Linked DNA regions of Oreochromis niloticus. The protein of the gene in region 2 purifies or fractionates together with the protein of the main gene of each other region. This does not show direct contact. Links are inferred from orthologs where the notes say so. Each region holds a gene or a part of one and is shown on either strand. Other genes may lie near its edges.

Region 1 (10,889 bases), on a different chromosome or scaffold from region 2:
AAGTCCTATCTCTTAAATAGGACCTTTTGTGTTAAGTTGGGGTCGGCTTCATCCTCTGTGGCCCCTCTGCTTTGGGGTGTGCCACAGGGATCTATTCTTGGACAGTTATTGTTTTCACTGTACCTTTTGCCTCTTGGCGCGATTTTCCGAAAACATAAAGTGCCATTCCATCTATATGCAGATGACTGCCAGCTCTATTTACCTTTTAGTCATTCTGATAGTCTCCCAAGTCGACCTCTGCTTGACTGCCTTACTGATGTCAAAGCATGGATGGCAAAAAACTTTTTAAATTTTAATGATCGGAAGACAGAAGCGATTTTATTTGGCCCAAATCGTTTTTCTCATACTCCAGATGTTGATCTTGCAGCTTCGACTTCCCAACTAAAGAGTTCGATCACAAATCTCGGAGTTAAAATTGATTCTGCACTTACCTTTGATGACCACGTAAACGGGGTGGTAAAATCAGCATTCTATCACCTCAGACGTTTAACGAAGGTTAAGCCCTTTCTTTTCTTGTTATTCATGTGTTATTCATGCCTTTATTACCTCACGTTTAGATTATTGCAATTCTCTTTTAATAGGGGTTGGGCAGGGCACTTTGTCACGCTTGCAATTAGTGCAAAATGCTGCGGCACGATTTTTAACTGGCAGAAGGAAATTTGATCACATCACTCCGATTTTGGCCTCTCTACACTGGCTTCCAATTGAATTTAGGACCCGTTTTAAAGTCCTTTTATTGTTTTTTAAACAGCCCGTTCTCACTCCCGAGGCGTAACATGCTGACATTTTGTCACGTCCCGCGGCGTTCCTGAGGAACGCGAAAGGAGACCTTCGGCGTTCTTATGGTACGCGGCGGGTTATGGCTGAAATCCAGTGCAATGACGCTCCCGCGGTAATAGACGTTCCAGCCCTGTATTCCAGCCCTAAACCTAACCTTATCCCTAACCCTAACCATAACCTTATTCCTGACCTTAACCAGGACTTTAATGATGTTAAATAGCGTGTTTCTAAGCGATTTGAAGAAAAAGAGTGAACATGTGTAGATTGAGTCCAGATGGTTCTCACATTTCCTCATTTTTCCGAGGTCGTCATTTAGGAACGTGGTGGGTAGCCGAAAACGTAATATGTTGACGATTTGTCACCTAGCGTAAAATGTTACGCTTTGGGAGTGAGAACGTGTTGTTTTAAATCTCTAAATGGTCTGGCACCTGTTTATTTGTCTGACTTGTTGAAGCCCCATGTCCCCATTCGTTCCCTTCGATCAGCTGAGCAGTTGTGTTGCTTTCGGTCCCAAAGTCATGGCTGAAACTTAGAGGAGACCGAGCGCTCTCTGTAGCAGCGCCGATGCTTTGGAATAACCTTCCTCTCCATATTAGACTGGCTACATCAGTGCCAGTTTTTAAGTCTTTATTAAAAACCTATTTTTATTCCCTGGCTTTTAACTCTGTGGGTAACTGACTTTTTTTTTTTTTTTTTGCTGTCTGGTTTTATTACTATGTGCATATTAGTATTGTACAGCACTTTGGTCTACCAGGTGTGTTTTTAAAGTGCTATATAAATAAATGATGATGATGATGATGATGATACTGAATGACTATTTTTCCATCAGTGGGATTTTTGCTGTGACTTATCAAAATGATGCTACAGCGAAGGAATGGAACCATCATAGATGATGAAATGTTAGTGTGACTGTTTCGGCCGTACCATTTCATTTATTTTCGGCAGATCATCTAAAATGTTTCCATGTAAATAATTATGGTTTTCAGTCATTTTATGCAAAAAGGACTCCTCTATGTTAACTGAGCTATTTTCATTGTCATGTTGGACGTTAAGTATCTGCCTCAGGCTTTAGCAGTGGTATAATCTATTAGCCGTGGTTCAGACATACTGGGACTCAACCAGATTTAATGCATCCAGATAAGAGGAGAAGAAAAATGGACCTAAACTCTGATAAAATGTGACTTTTATCAAGCTACAGAACTTATTTAACTAAGCTGGATTGTATTTTACTCATTCTGCTGATTCTGTATTCAAATAATTTGACCACACTAACTTTAAATACACGCACAAAGGCCCACACAGGTGAATGTAAAATAGCAGAGTGCACACTGTACACTCTCTCTCTCCAACATCCAGACACATGTGTGGTTAAACATCTTCTTCTCTGTCATTTTTAACTAACCGATCACAGAGTAGACTCTTTCGGGGTTGATGTCTTTAGGAGCCCGCTGGGACTCGTCATTCTGTCCGTCTTCTTCAGTTCTGATGTGAAGCAGGGATTTTTCTTGGGTCGTAGCTCCAGTTAAACCTCCTCCTCGTCCTGCCTTCTCCTGCACAAACCAGCACTCCAACACCGGACAGCTGCTGCTGCTGCAGGCTTCAGACAAAAGTTTAACAGGAGATTAATGGGTAGTAAAATCTCTGTAAATATCAGACCACATTATATTATGCCATTATGTTTCCCGACATCATGCACTCAGAAAATTATTGTTGTGCTAACTGTCTTTTCAAGCTCAACCAATAAACAAGGCAGTTATAGGAATTATTATTGAAACAGAAAGTTAAAACAAGTGTAATATGTTTCATGAGATCCAGTTTAAAATCACAGCTAAAAGTAAAAGTAAAAGTCCAGTTCTGTCTGGCAACCCATAAATATTGTACTTAACTGTTTCCACCCCTTCAGTGTTTTGCTTTTGGTTTATTCCCCTCCTTTTTTTTTTTTTTTGATTTTTCATTTAGCAAACAGGCAGCAGCCCATCTACCTTTCCCAGAAAATTAAGTCTCCAGCTGTTTCCTGTGCACAGTCTTAATCACTAAAGTGAAGACAGCACTGCTTCAATTTGTGATTTCAGGTATTGGTGATTGTATTTCTAAATACTGTAGACTATAGTCAGCAGGATTTACAAAGGGGTAACATGTAAAACAAAGAGTATCTTTATGACTCTTGTTTTTTTTAATTGTTTTATTGTACCTACTTCGTAACCAATTCAGACCTTTTTGGCCTTTTAAAATATCTTTATTTAACTGTTGTTATATTTGTTGTAGTTTTCATATACGATATGGCCATATGGCCATATGCCTCTAAAAGAAGACGTTTTTAATGTCCGTGACACTTTTTAACTGGTTAAATGTAGGATAACTTTGCCAGAAAGTGATTGCAGCTTCTACGTTCTTTCACATATTAATGGTCAACAAGTAATTTACAGCAGTTTAAATATAGATGATCACTTTTCGGCAAATACCGGAAATCACTTTTGGACAGACGATCACGTTTTTGGCACGAAAATAGGCGTGTTAAATTTCGGTTATTTTTGTTAAACGTAATCATGCATACACCTATAACATTCACTTACATGTTTTAAGACGCATTTGGGCATTATTTTAAATTCGGCTTTAAAAGGGTCATCAAATATGAACTTTACTATGTTTAGTTAAACGTGACGTTATAGTCCAAGTTGGTTTGGACATTTTCAACCAGCTGTTTTGCAACTTTTTGATGTTACTGAACAGATAGATGACTTCCATGCATATAAAAAAGGTTTTTCTTACATGTACGGTTTATAATATTAGTAATACAGCATGCATAGATGTATTTTTGTCTGTCAGACCAGCAGAGCAACAATGAGCTCGACTAGCTTACCTTGAATAAAGCAGGTAACGGCGATCAGAGACAGTTTATAGATGGTAGATAATTCCGTCATGTTTATCCGTGTTTCCTCACAGACAGATACCCTCGTTTAGCTGCAACCAAACGGACTAAACAAGGTTTAGTTGGCTGGTTTTCCCCTTCAAGTACGAGATCAAGTTTAGTTTCGCTTTCACATACAGACGAGTCCGACAGTTATCCAGGAAAAACACAAAAACACGCCATAAGTTTATAATATATCAGGATTAGCTGACATGAGAGTGAATGTGTATCTGGAAAATTAAAGTAACTGGAAGCCTAAAAACAAAGATTTTACAGTAGCTTAAAAGAATACGTCTTCAAAATTGCATTCAGGAGTACTGCCATCCCACCGCTAGATGGCGCCCTCTGGCTAAAAATAAACCAAAGGCAAACTGTGGAGTAACGTGCTACGTTAGTGGCAGCAAGGCATCAGAAAGATAACCCAGTCTGAGGGCAGGGGTCAGATGAGGACAAGAGAAACAGAAAAAATAAAAAGTCTTAAATCTAAACACACAGCCTTTGTTTTTATATTGTAGTAGCAGCATACTGAGTGTATAGGCCTTGGTTTTAGTAATAGAAGTTCTTTTTTTTAATTTATGTTTTTTAATGCATACAGAATTCATGGTAAATTACTTTTCTGTATGAGTTTAGTAACTTGTTCTTTACAGATTAAAAGTTAGCTGTACACTTTATTTTTATATGTATGTCCTTCTGACCTGTCTAAAATTTTGATGTTAATAATTGATTGTTTCACTTCTTTATTGTTGCAGGAACGTTGCAGAACAAGTCAGACAAGAAGCCTTAACGTCCTGGCACACATATATTAGATAACAGCCTAAAACGAAACTTAACAGAGTGATCACGTGGTTTCACAGAAAGAAGTGGAGATGGAGTGCCGTTTGAGTCCAGTGGTGGAGCTCTAACACTGTGACTGACCTTTCTGCAAAACACCACCAACAGAATTAGTGAGGCTTGCTACTGTAGCTTTAACTGATGTGATTTCCTCATTGTTTGCATCAAAGTCACACCAGGGGCCCGTTCTTCGTACCTCGCTTACTACATCCAAGATCAAATGACACATCCAAGATCAAATCATCGCGCTAACTTTGAGCTCGCTAATCCGGTTCTCCGAACACACCTGTTGTTGACGATTAGTATAGCTGGATGAAGTAATCTGAGATCACTGGGTGGCTTAAAAGGGGCTACGCATCGATAGTAGAAACACTGATCGGCAACCCTGTGATTGGTCGGCGAAGATGTCGAAGGAGCGCGCACAGTATTTCACGGCAGCAGACCAAGAACTCTTGATTGAGGGATATCAGGAGTTTCAGAGTTTAATTAAAACGCAAGGGAACACTGCAAAGGCTGCAAAAGCAAGGAGAGAGGGCTGGCAGAAAGTTGCTGACAAATTAAACTCGTAAGTGATCCATGATATTACATTATATCATGTGATATTATATTATACCACATTATATTATATTACATCATATCCTCTTTCACATTAGAGCCACAACAGGACCCACTAGAACATGGGAAAAAGTAAAAGTGAAATATAAGAATATTCCACAGAATGGTAATATTTATCACTTATATTGCTTTTAGTCTATGAGAAGAGACCCTGGAATAATCTGTTTGTTTGTTTATAACAGCAACCAAGAAAAGGGCAGAGCAAATAAAGACAGGTGGTGGTCCTGCACCCCCTCGTCACACCCCTTTTTGTACTGTGACATTTATTGACATTGTGGGTTTTTTGTGTGTAGTTTGACATAACACTCCATCACTTTTACCTGTTCCCATGCAACGGGTGACTGAGCCATGCACAGTAAGTCGGGAGTAAGTATATTGCTCGCGTACAAACGGACAGGACATGGCTGCGACAGACTTCCCAAATCCACCTTCGCTTTTATAGTCGTGGTCTCTCATCTTGATTGCACGTAGTAATTTACTATTACTACTCTAAAATATGAATTACATCTGACATGATCTACTACATGTAATAGAATGATTAATAGTACATTTCCCTTTTTTTAGGAAATGACCTGTATGTATCTGTATGAAATCAATAAAAGAATCAAATACATTATCTTTAGTTACATTGATGATATTTATTTATGGTAAAACAGTGGCGAAATATCGCTCTTGCTTTCATATAACTGCAGCGGACATACCTGAGAGGCCGCGATCTAATCCTGTTTACATAAAGTAAGCCTGCTCCCGAGCAGGTTTACGCTTACGGATCTGTTGCTATGACAGCAAGTCCCAGATGAGCTTCGGAGAACCGAACGATCCAAGATCACGCGAAATCGTCAACATTCAAATCCGGCTAACTTACTTAGCGAGGTACGAAGAACGGGCCCCAGAAAAGCCGCAGCAGGGTTTGTCTGATAGACACAAGGAAACAGGTGACAACATATGTGTTACCTATGATTATAGAAGAATTAAAAGATTCTAATCAAAAGATGACCAAGCTATATAACTTGGAGCATGTAGAGCATAGATATCATACGTATAAAGATTTCCATCTGTATAAAATAATTACATTATAAAATAAGAGTGAATGATAGGCGTTTGTCTATTTGCCATTTAAATACACCAAGAGAAGAGACTGCAGAGGTGCTTTCAGTGTAAAGTCTTCTGTGACAACATGATTCATTTTCCTAACAAATGTGGCACCAATTCAGGAGAAATAAACAGGTCTTTATTCTAAGTTTACCTCATCTAAGTTTACCTCTTCTAAGTTTACTTCCTCACACTTTGCAAATATAATAAATGCAGACAAATTAACAGATTAAACATCAAACCTGGATTATGCAAGCACTTTCTTTGTTCATTAAAAAAAATTAAATCTATTCTGCTTTAATTTTAAATTGAAAAAAATATTACAGTGTAAGTATGGTGCTATCATGTCTCTCATCCTCTGGTTCAGTCTGCTGAAAAACATGGTCTGTCATATATGTAGGTGTTTGACAGGAAGATTTGTGGGCCCAAAAATGACTTTGCAACACAGAACTGAGCTAAAAGTCACAGCTTTAATGCTGGGGGAAAAAGGCAAAGGAGCCAACTAAACAGTCACTAACATAAAATAAATTGAGTCATGGAAACCCTCAGATTTATGCAGTTTTGCAACAAAGGGGCCAGCCCTTGTACTTTGCCAGACATTAAACTGCTGAACTGTGTATGATGGACCTGTTGCCACAGTAACCAACTTAGAGTTCAAGTTAACTCTCCCCAGATTATCCCTTGCTGCAACACCCCAGGATTAAACTTGGAGCATGTTCCAGAAAGACATAGTACATGGTAAAATAGTACCAAGTAAATAAGAATTTAAAAATACTTGCCAGGACTCAAAAAGGACAGAAACACCTGCATGACTTTTCCAGATCCAGATCCAGTCTTTTCCAGACAGGGGGAACACTAACACCAGGAACCAACAGAGGGAGCACCAACCCAGAAAATCACAAAACACAAACCATCCCAAGGCAAGAACACGAGTCCACAAATACTACTACCAACAACAACAACGACGATAATAATAATAATACTTCAAACCAAAATCACTGAGTCCGCGGACTCAGGACCATGACATTGTGTCTTGTTTCATTCTTCTATTCCCATGTTCCCCTCTTTGTTTCATTCCATGTCCCCCCCCCCGTCGATTATATTTATCTACGTTTCCCCAGCCCGTCATGTCTCTCCTTTCGCTCTCTCGCTCCCTCACTCCCTCCCCGCCCTTCCTCGCTACCTCTCTCTGTCACGACTGGGGCAGCAGCCGTGTGATGAGTGGAAAGGAGGACTCAAATGCAGCACTTACTAAGATGTGAAGGTGGTTTATTAAGAATACAGAACACAAAGTGGGGATGGCAAAACAGAACTAAGGATAAACTAAACTGGGGAAAACTAAACTATAGAACGGCAAACCTGAACACGAGAGGAAGACTGCGAGGAGAGCACATAGTGGAGTCACGGAGAGGTTAACGGAGCAATGCAGAGCACACAGGGTAACACAGAGGATGAACACAGAGGATGAACACAGACGACGCGACGAGGAACAGAGGCAAACACACACTATAAATACACAGAGGGACACTGGGAAATCACACACAGGTGGGAGACACAGCTTGACCTGATTAACCTGACGAGACAGGGGAACACTAACACCAGGGACCAACAGAGTCAGCACAAACCCAGAAACCCAGTATCCAAAACACAAACCATCCCAAAACAGCCCACAAATAATGAAAATAATAATAATAACAACAATAAATACACCAAACACAAAATCACTGAGTCACGGACTCAGGACCATGACACTCTCTCTGTGTCTCCTCTCCCTTAACTGTTGCCGTGTCCCCCTCGTTGTCTCCTCCAGTTATCTCCCTAATCCATCTCATTTCCCTGAGTGTTCTTTCCTCCCAGTTACCATGTTATGTTGTGAATTGCTGCGTCTCAGTACTTCCTGTTTTAATTTGATAGTCTCCTGTCTGATGTGCATCATATTCAGTTTTGTTTCCTCCTGTCTGGTTAGTTAGATCACGTTCCTGTGGCTTTTCCCCTCATTTTCCCTTGTGTGTCTCCCTCTGCCCTGCGTTACGATCTCCCTCGCGCTTCATGGCTGCGTGTCTCTCTGTGTATTTAGTTCAGTTTGCATTTTCTCTGGTCCAGCAATTAAGCTGAGTTTGAGTTTATTTTCGTGTCCATGAGTCATACAGTCCACTTTAAGTTTATGTAGGCCAGACCAGTGAAATGACAGTTTCTACCAATCTGCAGAAACTTAATTACATGTTTAATGCCTTACATATCTTCTATAAAAAATGAAGTGCTGTTTCAACAGAAAGAAATCTGTCACCATGACTCCTTGGGCTTACATTTTAAAAAATAAATTAGTGAAATTACACATTTATCAGTAGAAGAAGCTTAAAACATACCAAAATACAACTAAAAACACAACATTTCTGTTCTCCTTCACATTTTCCAAAGCCATTGAATGGGCCAGACTGGAGTCATTGCTAGGCCAATTTTACCCCCCAGGCCTTATGTTAGACACCCCTGCAACAGAGTATCTTTAGGATGCTGAGAAGCAGAAGAACCACATGATGAAAGTGTGTTGATGCTAAAATCTCTGAGGAATCTTCCCAGCACCTTGTTGAATCTATGACATGAAAGCAAAAAGGGATCCAACCTGATACTAGCAAGGTGTACCTAATGAAGTGGCCAGTGAGTGTAGTATTAGTAGTTGGTGTAGTAGTAGCTGTCATTGGCTGAATATTGTTCATTAGTTGAATTATCTTTTTAGTTTGTAGTGCTATTTTTTTTTTTTTAAAAAAAGCCAAAATATTGAATTAAAAAAACAATTACATCATTTGTTTTGCAGTGACTCACTTCCTACAGTATTTCTACACTGGATCTTCTGGGGTGCCAAACTTCCCAGAGTTTGTGGTTGTTGGGATGGTTGATGAAGTTGAGATAATTCACTATGACAATAACACCAGGAGAGCTGTGCCCAAACAGGACTGGATGAAGAAAGTCACAGAAAATAACACACAGTACTGGAATACAGAGACTAAAGCACTGAATAACACCCTGCAGGTGTTCAGAAACAACATTGAAACAGCAAAGCAACGCTTCAACCAAACTCAAGGTTTTATTTCATGATTAATCTCAGTTTATTTTCTTTGTTGTACAGTACACCACTCATTTCTATCCATTAACATGCTTTTATTAAGTTACCTCTCATTGTCAAAGTATTTTCTTCACTCACACCCCTGAAAGAAACACAGATGGGTTTAACACACACATTAAAGGTGTGAGATCAGATGCTGTTTCTGACACAACTTTTGAGCCTCTGGAAATGAGGGACTGCGTAGTAAAATAGCTGTAATTCTTAAACAGTTGATGCAGAATTTTGATAAAACTATTTAAAACAAAGTTCAAAGTCTGCACATCAATCACAGTTTGATTGATTGAATTAAAATTCAGTGGTTGTGTATAAGCTCAACACTACAAATTTTTTTGCCTGTTTGTAAAAAAATATGCCCCCTATGTATATGCGTTATTACCTCATACAGGATCACTGATTTTATGTGTTCTCTTTTTTTTTTTAGGTATCCACGTTTTCCAGTTGATGTATGGGTGTGAATGGGACGACGAGTTTAAAGACATTATATCATCAGTATGGCTATGATGGAAAAGATTTTATTATATTTGATCTGAACACAGAAACGTGGATTGCTCCAAAAGAACAGGCTGTCATCACCAAACACAAGTGGGATCATGATGCTGATTGGAATACACAGACGAAACACTACTTAACTCAGGACTGTATTGAGTGGCTGCAGAAATATGTGTACTACGGTCGGCATAGCCTGAAGAGAACAGGTAGAATAATCTGATTTACACAGACTTTTTCAGTTTCAAATTCTGGGAAATCACTTTAACAATTTTACGACAGGTAATTTTACACAAGGTTTACAAGGTGATTTTGCAGAAATTTAAATGATCAAAGGGGAAATTAACCATAAATATATCTTAATGTGGTTGAAGAGGGGACATACTAATCCTAAAATATAATATTTAAATGCAGTTAATTAATGTGGGGATAGTTAGTAGGTGTGTAGGACAGAATCTAACATATGAAGTTTGTGAACTAGTTTGTGTGCTTTGACTGGTGCTATAGATATACATTTACAATACCTTCAGTCTTGTACTGCTTTTATAATTTTCTGTGCATGCATTCAAAGGACTCAAAATTAACATGTATTACAAAAATGTAGAAAATTCTTTATTGTCTAAGTAGTTTGTAAAAGCTTACTCCACAGAAGACTGCAATAGAGTTAAGATTCAAATTTGGGCTGCATGAAGTATAACGTAAACATGATACAAATTCCAACATCACTCAAGTCTTTGCAAGCCTAGAAGTGTTCATGAAGATTCCTTCATCAACTCTACTCTGAAATGTTAATTCTGAAGCAGAAGACTTCATATGGATGGTGTTCAGTTTTGTTTTTTTATGTTATTGATGTTGTTGTTGATTTTTTTAAAGAAGCCCAAATAGTGTTGGAAATGATTGAAATAAAAGGAGTATATAGTCAATGAGGTAGTCTCTCTCTCTCTCTCTCTCCAGTTCTTCCATCAGTCTTTCTCCTCCAGAAGTCTTCCTCCTCTCCAGTCTTCTGCCACGCTACAGGTTTCCATCCTAACAGAGCTGAGATGGTCTGGAGAAAAG
Region 2 (11,274 bases):
TATTTCCCCTTGTGTATTTATCTCAGTTACAATTTCTAGCTATAAAAACAACAAATAAAAGGTGTTTAAATGTCTTGTTAGCCGCCTTTAGACTCTCCCACTGTCACATATTCACACAAGTCAAGCTAAACAAAAACTGCAAATACTCTGTAACATGGATCAGTGTTCAACTCACACTGTTAGCCCAGGTAGAAGCCGCATAGGCAGCTGCCTCCTTTTTATTAAGGGCGTAAGTGTCCTCCAGGCGCAGTCTGTACTTCTCTGTCTCACCGTCCTCATTGGCAAAACTCCTCACTGTCTTCATGTTTGAGAAGGTCTCTGTGGCCACTTGGTTAGCCTTTGCCAGTGACTCTTGAACTTGCACAGCAATAGTCTGAAATATAATGAAAAATTAAACTATGGAGTTTGAGTCAGTAAATCAAGACACACCTTATTGATTCGTCACTAATGTAACTGATCAGAGGAGAGCTGATGAACAAGTAATTAAAGCTAAATTTTTCACATCACCTGGTGGAAGCGTCCGGTGAGCTTGGGTATGACCCAGATGATGGGCAGCCCCATGCATGTGAGCAGCGTCATTTTCCATGACTGGCTCACCATGTAGAACAAGAGGAAGCCGAAACGTGCCGTGTACCACATCAGAAGACTCAGCTCCTCGCTCAGAGCTTCACTCACGCTGTTGGTATCAGTGGTAATCCGTGACACCAGTTCACCTAACAGTACAGCATGAGTCTTCTTAAAGGGATCACATTTTAAGTGTATATATACTTCTTTTTTCTGGATTATTTGTAACAAGTTCACAAAACTTTTTAAGAGGAAACTGAGATTGGCCTTTAGGGTTTTAGTTATTAATTAATGAAACATTAATCTTGTATACAGTTTGTACATAATTTACCTGTTGAAGTGGCATCAAAGAAAGCAATCTCCTGTTTCAGCACGGCCTGGAAGACGACTCCCTGCACCGAGGTATGTATGCGGCTCATGGTGATATTGTACGTGAGGTCACATATAAACTCGAGCACAGCACTGAGACATAAAGCAGAGAAAGAGTTACACTAAAAGTACATAAAATATTATTACAGCCATATCCTTAAGCTTTTGTTAAGCTTCTGTTGTACACATATCAGAATTGACTGAAACTACACTACATGGGTTGGAGGAGGAGCTCGGGTGTAAAAAGCATCCTAGGTTAACGTTGACCATCCTCACAACACTCTTTCAGTTCATTTCCGAGTATTAAAAAATAAAAACTCCCGGAAATTTTTAGCAAACAGATTACATGTTTTTTATTTATTCTAATTAAATCGTTCTGCATTAGTAAACAGAGAGAACCTTTAAAAACCAACTTTAATAACCAAAGAAGACAAAGGTTATATTACCTGGCAATGGTCATTAGTGTCATGATTGTAATGGCCTCTGTGAAGGCGTCAGGTGCTTCTTCATTCATGATCCAGTCAGCCATGCGTCCAGTGTACTGAGGAATAGCCATCTCACCTGAAAGCAGGTGTTAACATTATCACCATACTGATCTTTGGCAAAGCCCAACTGCCAGGTTAACTTTTACACTCAGCAGCGTCAGTGGACTGTGATTACATTTCTTTATTTGCCTACAATTACGGTTTCATGTTGCTGGCATTATTACAGATATGCAGCTAGTGCTGCAGAAAACAAGACCTTTTTTCCTATACTTAAATTAACAGCATGAGGACACTGACACGAACACAATGATAACTACTGGATATAATTTCAAAACACTGTAGTGGCAAGAAGGACATACACGCTTTAATTTAAACGAAAAGAGGCATATTACAATTTAGGCTCCAGATTGATATTCTTGGACTCTACTAAAGGAGCTCCACACATGATTCAAAGTTCAAAATAATCCTTATTTATCTTATACTGGGCCTTAATACAACCCTCTAGGTTATTCACTGTCTGGAACGGGCACATTTATCACCCTTCCCCCTCTCTTTAAACAGAATGTTTGAACAGCAGGTGGCTGAAGCTTCTCTCTTCACAGATGACCAAGTTGGGGAAATCAGCTCCCAATGACATTATACAGAGTCAGTAGTAGAAAAAACTATCTGAAACAGAGTCTGAAGCATGACGTTACTTTCACGTATGCTAACCTCATTATTTGTCACTCTGGTGATGTTTAATATGAATATACACCATTGTAATACTATAAATATGATGGAAATAAAGAAAAAGCACAACAGACCCCACTTCAAAGGTGTTATTTCACATACCATAAGACGAGAGAAAGACAAGTATCAGCACAGCAACAAAGCGCCAGAAAAAGGGCTGCATGTATCCCATCAGTCTCTTCAGAGAGGCCCCAGTCTCCTCTTTTGGCTTCTGAGATGGTGTCCTCTTAATAAAAGATGAAATGTACTGGCCCCAGGAGATCAAAAGAGATGACACATACCGACTCCAGTAGAGCCAGGCCACCACTGTCACAATATAACCCTGTAACACCTGCAGGACAAAGGACAGGTTTAATATAACCATTATATATTTGTTTATTTAGCTTAGATGAAATAAATTGGTTTTGGTTTCAGATCTTGTTCCAGGCTGAGTATCTTTTATACATTATTTTTATTTTTCTGCTCAAAAACAGTTAAATTACACTGGAAGCTGTTCAATTATCTGAGATATCTACTACTAGAAATCTAATAAACACATATAGAGCAAAACTAGATTCACTTTTTCATTATATTAATCTGTAAATGTGAGTTTTGTCTGCTGATCAGACTTAAGACATGTGAAAGCAACAATTTATGTGTATCCCAGCCATGCTGGCAGTAGTCACAAAGTTGTTAAGTGGTTTTCTGTCATGAAACAAAAGAAGAAGAACTGAAGAACTGCAGGGTGGCCAGTAACAGTGGTAAAGGAGGTGGCCACAAATAGCAGTAACACAATGTAAAAACATTCCAAGTAAAAATAGCATAAAAAAATATAGATTATAGATACATTAACTTGTGTTCATGCTTCTTATTTCAGCCAAATGCTCCTGATATTTTCATTATCTAATATATTTGATTGTTGTTACTGATACTGCAGTTTTAACTGGCACTTTTACAACTTTCTGCTGCTGGAGAAGTTACTGATATAGAACAATAAACTGCAACTCTTATCATAAGATTTGTGTAACGCATTTTAAACTTCAAAGTAGCTAGTAAGAATCCTGCAGTTCACAGACAGCTTTTTGCACGTAAAAAAGCAAATTTCTTATTGAGATATGTCCCCTCAAAGTGCATTAGGTAATGATTTCATATTTTCCTTCTTGCAGCTCACCAAGGTTGCACATATTGTAGCATGGCAGGCAACAAAACACATACACTCACCCTCTCCCAGGAGTGCCACCCCCACAGTTCCTCCATGGTGGACTGCCCAAGCACCCAGAGAAGAGTAGCGTACACTGGGAAGTGGAAGCAAAGGACCCCTAAGCTCTGGAGCCCCTCGAAGCTTTTAGTCCATGGTAGGCTTCCAGGATAGGTGAAGGCCAGGAAGGCAAGGACGGAGGCTCTGGTCAGGGCTCCTCCCCATAGGATGATGAACGGATGGGAGAGCAGGAGAGGCGAGAGTTGGGACAGGCGGATGGTGTGCACCACACACACATCCAGGCACACGCAAAGCACCGGGAAAAAGTAGCTCATCTTCTGCATTACGCACACACTCTGCAAAAACAAATGACAGAGACAGCTGAGTATTAATATCAGCACAATATGCAAACATGCAAAAACATAAAATACGGATGATCTATGTGTCACCAGTGGGCAATCTTTGACAGAATCTATTGTATTTTTACTTTTTCAACTTATACTCATTTATTAACGTTTTAACGCACCATGCACTAGTCTTTGTACACCAGAGTATTTCCTTTTTCGCCTGGAAGAGGGACATTACGTCTATATGTGTTGGGTAGATGGGACTGACGGATCAAACATGATGCACATAAAAATGGACACCTGGTCACTTCTACCTCCACACCAGGCCTACATTTTGAATGCCTTTCAAAGACAATGGTCCCTATTTACTTTCACTTTGCTGCCGATCGCATTTACTTTCATTTTCTGCTGCCCTGATGATTTCTTTGAAATGGCTCCGTGAATAAACCAAACATCACACACATATACAAACAATTATGGCAAATGTTCACACCTATTATCATAAACAGCATTGATAGCGTACACTACATGAATTTACAGGGGATAGCAACTGTTAAAATTACCCTTAAATCCAACCTACCTACTTACTCAGTTTCTTTGCGACACGACAAATTTGCTTCGACGAACGTCGCAAACCTTTGAAAAAGTCGAATATAACCTCAGACCAAGTTCAAAACGTTAATTTAATATCTACAAACCGGCAGCCTGTTCAGTCACGAACCGACGACCAGTGACTGGCAAAACTGAAACCGAAACTAACTATTTATAGAGCCTTGGTAATGGAAAGTCCCACATACGTCCTCCTACCGAAGACCAACGACAAACAAAACTTACCTTTACTTAAACCGTGACGTTTTTATTTCAACATTATTCCTCAGAAAACTTGTTTTTGAAGAATAACTTCAGTGTGTGGAGTGCCTGCTGCCACCAACACTGCAAAGTTGATAGGATGTGCCTGATATGAAAACCAGTCCAACAGCGACCCCATGTGGCGAGGAGGTACAATTGCATGAGCTTTTGACTCTAGCGTCTCCAATGAACAACAGCTAGAATCACAGTAATTACATAAATCGCTTGGATATATATTTTTGTACTTTCATATATTCATTCATTCATTCATGCATTCTGGTCCCAGAAACAACAGTAGACTAAATAGCTATGTATATTTTTTTGTGATGTAGTTTTGATACATATTGTTTAATTATCTTTATTGGTTTAGACTGAGTGTAAACTCAGACAATAATAGCCACATGAACCTCCTCTGAGATCTTCCTCTTTTCATCTCACAGAAGCAGTTGCCTGATTTGCCTGGCTGACAGTCACATGTTGTCTCTTGCCTGGTCTTGGACACTGAAACCCCCAACAGAAACTTTGAACTCCCTGACAGCTTCCTTCCTTTCCCTTCTTTCCGGTTTGATGGCTGGAAAAAGCAAAGCTAAAAGTGTTCCTACTATTTTAGGAACCCTCTTTGTAAACCCCTGTAAATCACAAAGCATGTGTTTGCTTTGCTGTTTATTTTGAAAAGCAATGAAATACATCTTTAGCCAACTTCTTACACTTCAGCACTTAAAAAACAACAGATTTATCCTTTATTGCATAAAAAACCTGAGGTTAAAATTTAGAATTCTAAACCAATTTAATCTGGATTCAGTCAATACAATATCCCTTTTTGTGTTTTTACTGTATTCTAGTTTCTATGTTGGGAAATGGAAACTATTTTCGAAATTTCAACTGCAGCAGTATATAACATACTTTTGGGATAATTATTTCTTTAAAATTTATGCAGCATGTTTATACTGTAGTTCACTGCGGTTAATTTTGGACGGAATGAAGAGTTTCTAGTACCTAGTAATCATAACTGTTAATTAAATCGACAGTAATCTGTTCAAAAGTAGCACGCTTTACTAAATGAAAAAAATCAAGTCCATCCATTCATTTTCTTATGCTTATCCAATTCAGGGTTTTGAACATGCAAACTCCATGCAGGAAAGCTCCAGCCTTGTGATGGATTTGAACCCAGGGTTTTCTTGCTGTGAGGCGATGGTGCAAACCACAGATGGTAAATAAAATAGGCTACTATCGTAAATAGATTTAGTTCCATCACTCAAAATATTGAGCTGAGAGCAGCCATTGAATACTTCTAATTTGAATCCTTATGTTGACCTATTAGACCTATTATTATGGAGAATGATGCTCTTACACTGTCTTTTTTCATAGCAGTTTTCAGTATATAAAAGCATATTTACAGGTTGTTAGATATCACTCGTTTTAAATTCAGTGCACAATCAAATACATTGTGTGCACTGAAAACAGGAACACTATACATAACTGCAAGTGGGTTGATTAAAGAGTTTTCATTTAAAAATCAGTATGGGACACTACATTTGAAAAATGAAAAAGTAGTAATCATTTAAGTAGTAAGGCACATTGCTGTTATTGTTCTTCTAGTGCAAACTAAAGCAATGAATCTATTTGTAACCACAGAATTGAATTATATAAATTATTCTTGCAGTAAGACTTGCATAGATGGCCTGCATTAGAATAGTGTCAGAAGACCTTATGGGATTTGCAACAATAATATTAATTTTTGTTTCACTTTGGATGAAATTAAGGCGTAACTTTACACATATGTGATTCATACATTTGTGAAACTGAGCTCGCATCTCTGTTATAAACTGTCACACCATAAAGTCACTTGTATGTACCCTGGAAAGCCTGGATGCGCATGCTCAGACATGGCAGCTGCCTGTGAGAAGCCCCTCAGAGCCTACAGTTATGAACATTTAGCCAAATAAAAGTCGAGTTAACTGATTTGACTGCTGCGGAGTTTCGCTGCCAGAGGCACGATGGAGTAAACAGTTGGCAGCGGGGACATTTGGGAGCTGGTCTGGATGGAAGCGACGGGTTTACGAGACGTTTTCAAATGTATAACGCTATGTAAGCAAACACGAACGGCAGAAATGTGTCGTTTTAAAGGTTTCAGCCTGCATGAAGGGTTAAGAGCTTAGCCAGACATACCGCGTTAGGAACAGCTTCTCGATCTGCTTTTTCCCGTAACTCTCAGGCCCAGCAACGCCTACTTCTACGTAAGCTAAAACATCTGGATTTGGCCACATGGGTTTGTTGTGGACAGTAAACAGCTGCACTGACGGGGTTTCAGGCTGCTTTTAGTGATGTCTTAAGAGGGGAAAGAAAGATAGCTGGAGAAAATGCGATTTTAAAATCAATCGTAAAATACAATAATAATTCTTTTCTTTTTCATGTTTTAGCCATTGCAGCAATGGAGGATATTGGTCTCCTTCCCAAACCCACCCACGAAACCCCAGTCCACAGACCCACAGTCCCTGACACTTTTGGGCAGCATCACATCCCCCCAGGTGGGTATATGAGCTCATGCAATGTTTAATGAAATGTGAAAAATATCAGGTATTCACCTGACCTAACAAGCAGAGGCAGACTTAAACAATAATTCACAAAATGTAACATAATCCCAGGCCACTCTGGTCACTGCTTGAATATTTCACACTTTTAAATGATTCTTTTTGTTCATAAGGGTCAGTGTCAGTGTCTGTTTGATTACGGATGATTAGTAGCTTCTGAGTATCTGGGGTTTCAGTTCTTTGTTTTGTTTTTTCTGTGTTTTGTTAATATTCTTTTTTTAGAGTTATTTCTGTATACTCTTGTGTTTTTAGCCTTTATTGATTCATCCCTCCAGCTCCCTGTTCCTTGTCTTTGTAGCCCTTGTGTTTATAATGTAGATGTATAAATGTCCTATTTTTTGTAACTTGTCTTGTGTATTCTGGACAGTTTATCACCTGGAAAATCAACATTAAAGCTCATTTTGAGTTCAATTTTGGGTCTATAAATGACTCAATAAACCACAGAGCCATTGATACAGGCAAACATGGAGTATATTTAAAAACAAAACAAAGCTTCATACAAACAGACATATTTACTGAACATGAATGTGAGCTACAACAATGTAAAATAGGCTGTTGATGTGTGCACAATTACATGTGGAGACTATGGGGAGAGTTACTGCTGACAGAATTCTGGACAGTCAGCTCATTGCTGCTTGTTACAATGTATGTTTCTCTACACAGACCACCTGCATGTCGGTGATGCAAGCAGGAACTCTGACGTGGACAAAGATGGAGTGGTTAAAAAATGGTCCCACTCAATGACAATAGGTGAGCAGCAGATGATCTCCCAATTTCCTGTACATCACCAAGCACCTGTGGGTGCTGACACTCGTAAGTACAAATAAGAGTTAATGTACATCCAGCTTTACTTGGATGTACAAGTGTGCATGCAAGTATTTGCCTGTGCTGCTGTTTGTGTGCCTATTGGTGCATCTCTAGTTTTAATGATTACCATCCATGTAAATGACATGGATGTTTAGGCTGGTAGTAATAAATAAAAATGTCCTTGTGTGATAGTGATACATGATGCCTGGTATTTGTGAATTGAACTGTAACAAAAAATAAACTAAATTCAAACTTGTGCATCCAGTTCTTGTTTTTTAAAGTCATAAAGATGTATTCAGTACAATTATTTTACCCCTGGAAAAACAACAGTTTGAAGAAGTCATTAAAAATTACGGAATTAAATAGAAGTATATTATGGATTTGTAATGTATGGTGGGGGACAACTGGTATATACATGGACATGAAAATAATTTTTGTTAACAAATATTTCTGTCACACAAGGACATCTTCATTTATTCATAAAGTTATTATTTATAAAAAGTTATTTTTGTGAACATTCAATTGAAATGCTTGAGTGCTATCAGAATAATAATAAGACCATTAAATATCTCCAATATTTTTTAGAAAAGATTTTGAGGGTTTAATTCCGAGATAAGATATTTTATACATTTTTTAGTGTTACTAAATGTCCTTATACATGTTCAAGTGCATTTTTGTTATTTTTCTGCAGAAATTAAATAAAAAGCTGTAAAATGCTGATATTTAAACACTGCTGAAATATTTTTTGGAAGTCTGAAAAATCCCAGACCTCCAGTGCTAGCGATGAAAAATAACAACAAAGATGTTTTTCTGTTTTCTGTTTTTTTGATCTGTTTGTACAGCACATCTTAATTTGGATAAAGTAGGCGCTGTCAGAAAAATAACCAAAGCCAAAGTTGCAGATCCATTAAAGTGGAAGCAAAACAAGCAGAAACAGCTGAGGATGGAGGGAAAATTATATGTAAGCAAACGCAAGAAAGATGGTGAGATTGTAACCAAACACCCAAGAGCCATAGGACCAAGATGCACTTCGGATGCATGCAAAAAAACGACAAATCGGCTATGTGGTGAAATTACTGAAGAAACAAGGAAGAAGGTGTTCAATGAATTTTGGCAGCACATGAACTGGGCTCAGAGAAAGCTCTATGTAGCAGGACAAGTCGACCGTGACCCTGTGGAAAGATCTCGGGCTGCGGGGTTGCCTTCAAGGAGATCGGTGTCACTTCGTTATCATTTGATGGTGGATGGCAAACGGACACAAGTATGTAAGAACATGTTCCTGTCCACGCTTGGGATTGGAGAGTGGTCTGTGCTCAACTGGGCACATAGAACAGCAACAGAAAAGACTGAATCAAACAAAAGCAAGTCAGAAAAAAAGCCAGTTGTGACTGGCCCTCCTGTAGACAGCAACACTGCATTAGTTACTCAAGGTGAGTGTTTTTTCTTTCACTGTTTATCAGTTACTTTATAAACTCATAGACCTGATTTACACAATTTTTGGCAGAAGCAATGAGGTATATCTCAATAATGATACGTGCATGTTAATAAGGTTCCCATGTTTTTACAGAACACATGAATGCAACTGACAAAGACAAAAACAGGCCACCAGAAACAGAGGGGGCAATCCGAAAGAAATCCAGAGTTGCTAAACCACTAACATGGAAACAAAATCGTCAGAAGCAACTCAGGATGGAGGGAAAACCATACACCAGCAAGAGAAAGAAAGATGGCGCCACTATTACTAAAGCTCAGAGGTCAATGGGGCCAAGATGCACATCCAGTGCCTGCAAAAGGGCATCGAACCGTTTTTGTGCTGACTTTAGTGAGGAAAAGCGGAATGAGCTGTTCACTGGTTTCTGGCAGTGTATGAACTGGACTCAGAGGAAGGTCTATGTGGCTGGGCTTGTGGACTGTGATCCGGTGGAAAGAACCCGTGCACCGTGGACTCAGTCTAGAAGATCAGTCTCAATGCGATATCATTTGATAGCAGATGGCGATAAAAAACAAGTTTGCAAAAAAATGTTCCTCTCCACTTTGGGGATTGGAGAGTGGTCAGTGCTTAACTGGGCCCAGAATGCCTCCCAGCTAGACAATTTGGAGGAGAACAGTAAAAAGCGAATGCAGAGGAAATCCCGTAAAGCTTCAGAGCATATAGTCCTGAAGGAGTTTCTAGAAAGTTTACCAAAAGTGTCATCTTACTGTGGTGGAACGTCCATCTCTAAGCTCTGTCTGGAGCCAGTCTTCTCAAACATGTCCGAGGTCTACAGGTACTACTATAGCCACTGCATAGAGCAGAAGACAGCGCCGCTTTCACGCCAGGTTTTCTGTGCTGTGTTTAAAAAAATGAATTTAAGATTGTGTGACTCCAAAAAGGACCAATCTTGTTCTTTTGGTGGAACTGGAAACTTGTTTAATGAGCTTTGGGAGGAATGCTGCTTTGAAAGAGGAGCTCCAGGGCAACAACCTGAGAGAGTCGGTGACCCGTAGACCAATGTTGGTGCTTGTTACCATGTTAATACCAACTTTGTATTATACACCGTTTGTTTGAGACTTGATGGCGGATCCTTCTTTTATATTTGCACTTCTTGAAGCAGTGTAGTTGTCTTGCTGTAGCTGAAACAATTTAAGCACTACGTTCATTTTGAGGCCTCCGATTGTTTCATGTTATTCGGAGCATCATTTGGCAAACCAAACCAAAACTGCTATTCTATCGTTTCGATATGTATGATGTAAAAGGTCAAAGTCAACTCAAGTGTCAAAGTTGATATTTTCCTTTGTGAATTAAATGTGAACAGCTACCAGAAGCACTTTACAGAATTCTTTCAAAGGCAGAGCAGTCACAGTCAAGTTGTTAGGACTCCGCAGATGTGTGTGTATGTGTGAAATCATCAAATTCAAACCAAGCTGTCTCGTCACGCCCTGCAGCTTTTTGCACAATATGAAGTAACGGCTCTCCCAGCAGCTCCCTGAGTCACAGTAAGAATTACAAACACACGCATACACACAAATACGTGCACATATGGTTATCGCCCTTCCTTTTCTTCTCCACACAGTGGCAGGAAGTTGTCCAGATATCCGCAGGGCCCTCTGAAAAAAGAGCGAGTGAACAAAGTGGGCTGGGTGGTGGAGTTGGAAGGTGTTGGTGGCAGCGGTGATGGGGATTTGGTGACTTCACTCACAGTTAACTGTTCATTGTGAGCAGCCGGGCTGCAGCTACGAAAGAGCTACAGAGTCTTTTCAGTACGTGAAATAGAGAGTCTCATCTGAGCTTTGGCACATTAGAAGCAGTTTGTAGTGGAGTAATACCACACAGCTGGACTGGAGGACGGCTTTTTGAGAAGAAGGGGCCAGCACCT

What was found. The genes of interacting proteins can lie anywhere in the genome.
Region 1: the proteins of tap1 (region 2) and tapbp.1 purify together in Homo sapiens (co-immunoprecipitation; 6 studies listed by BioGRID and IntAct, with this or other methods). This does not show direct contact. The link is inferred for Oreochromis niloticus from reciprocal best matches to the Homo sapiens genes TAP1 and TAPBP.

Annotation. Positions count from the first base shown.
Region 1 is NC_031985.2:8,756,279-8,767,167, reverse strand, and holds the start of tapbp.1 (tapasin), read right to left. Parts: upstream 4,014-10,889; 5' UTR 3,702-4,013; coding exon 3,641-3,701; intron 2,378-3,640; coding exon 2,183-2,377; intron 1-2,182. UniProt on the Homo sapiens protein: Involved in the association of MHC class I with transporter associated with antigen processing (TAP) and in the assembly of MHC class I with peptide (peptide loading).
Region 2 is NC_031976.2:34,273,091-34,284,364, forward strand, and holds the start of tap1 (antigen peptide transporter 1), read right to left. Parts: upstream 4,645-11,274; 5' UTR 4,506-4,644; intron 4,420-4,505; exon of another isoform or gene 4,252-4,419; intron 3,681-4,251; 5' UTR 3,669-3,680; coding exon 3,348-3,668; intron 2,479-3,347; coding exon 2,250-2,478; intron 1,495-2,249; coding exon 1,380-1,494; intron 1,027-1,379; coding exon 896-1,026; intron 714-895; coding exon 508-713; intron 374-507; coding exon 176-373; intron 1-175. Other genes in the region: uncharacterized protein LOC102078248, read left to right, coding at 6,563-6,608, 6,941-7,048, 7,775-7,924, 8,761-9,348, 9,486-10,405. UniProt on the Homo sapiens protein: ABC transporter associated with antigen processing. In complex with TAP2 mediates unidirectional translocation of peptide antigens from cytosol to endoplasmic reticulum (ER) for loading onto MHC class I (MHCI) molecules.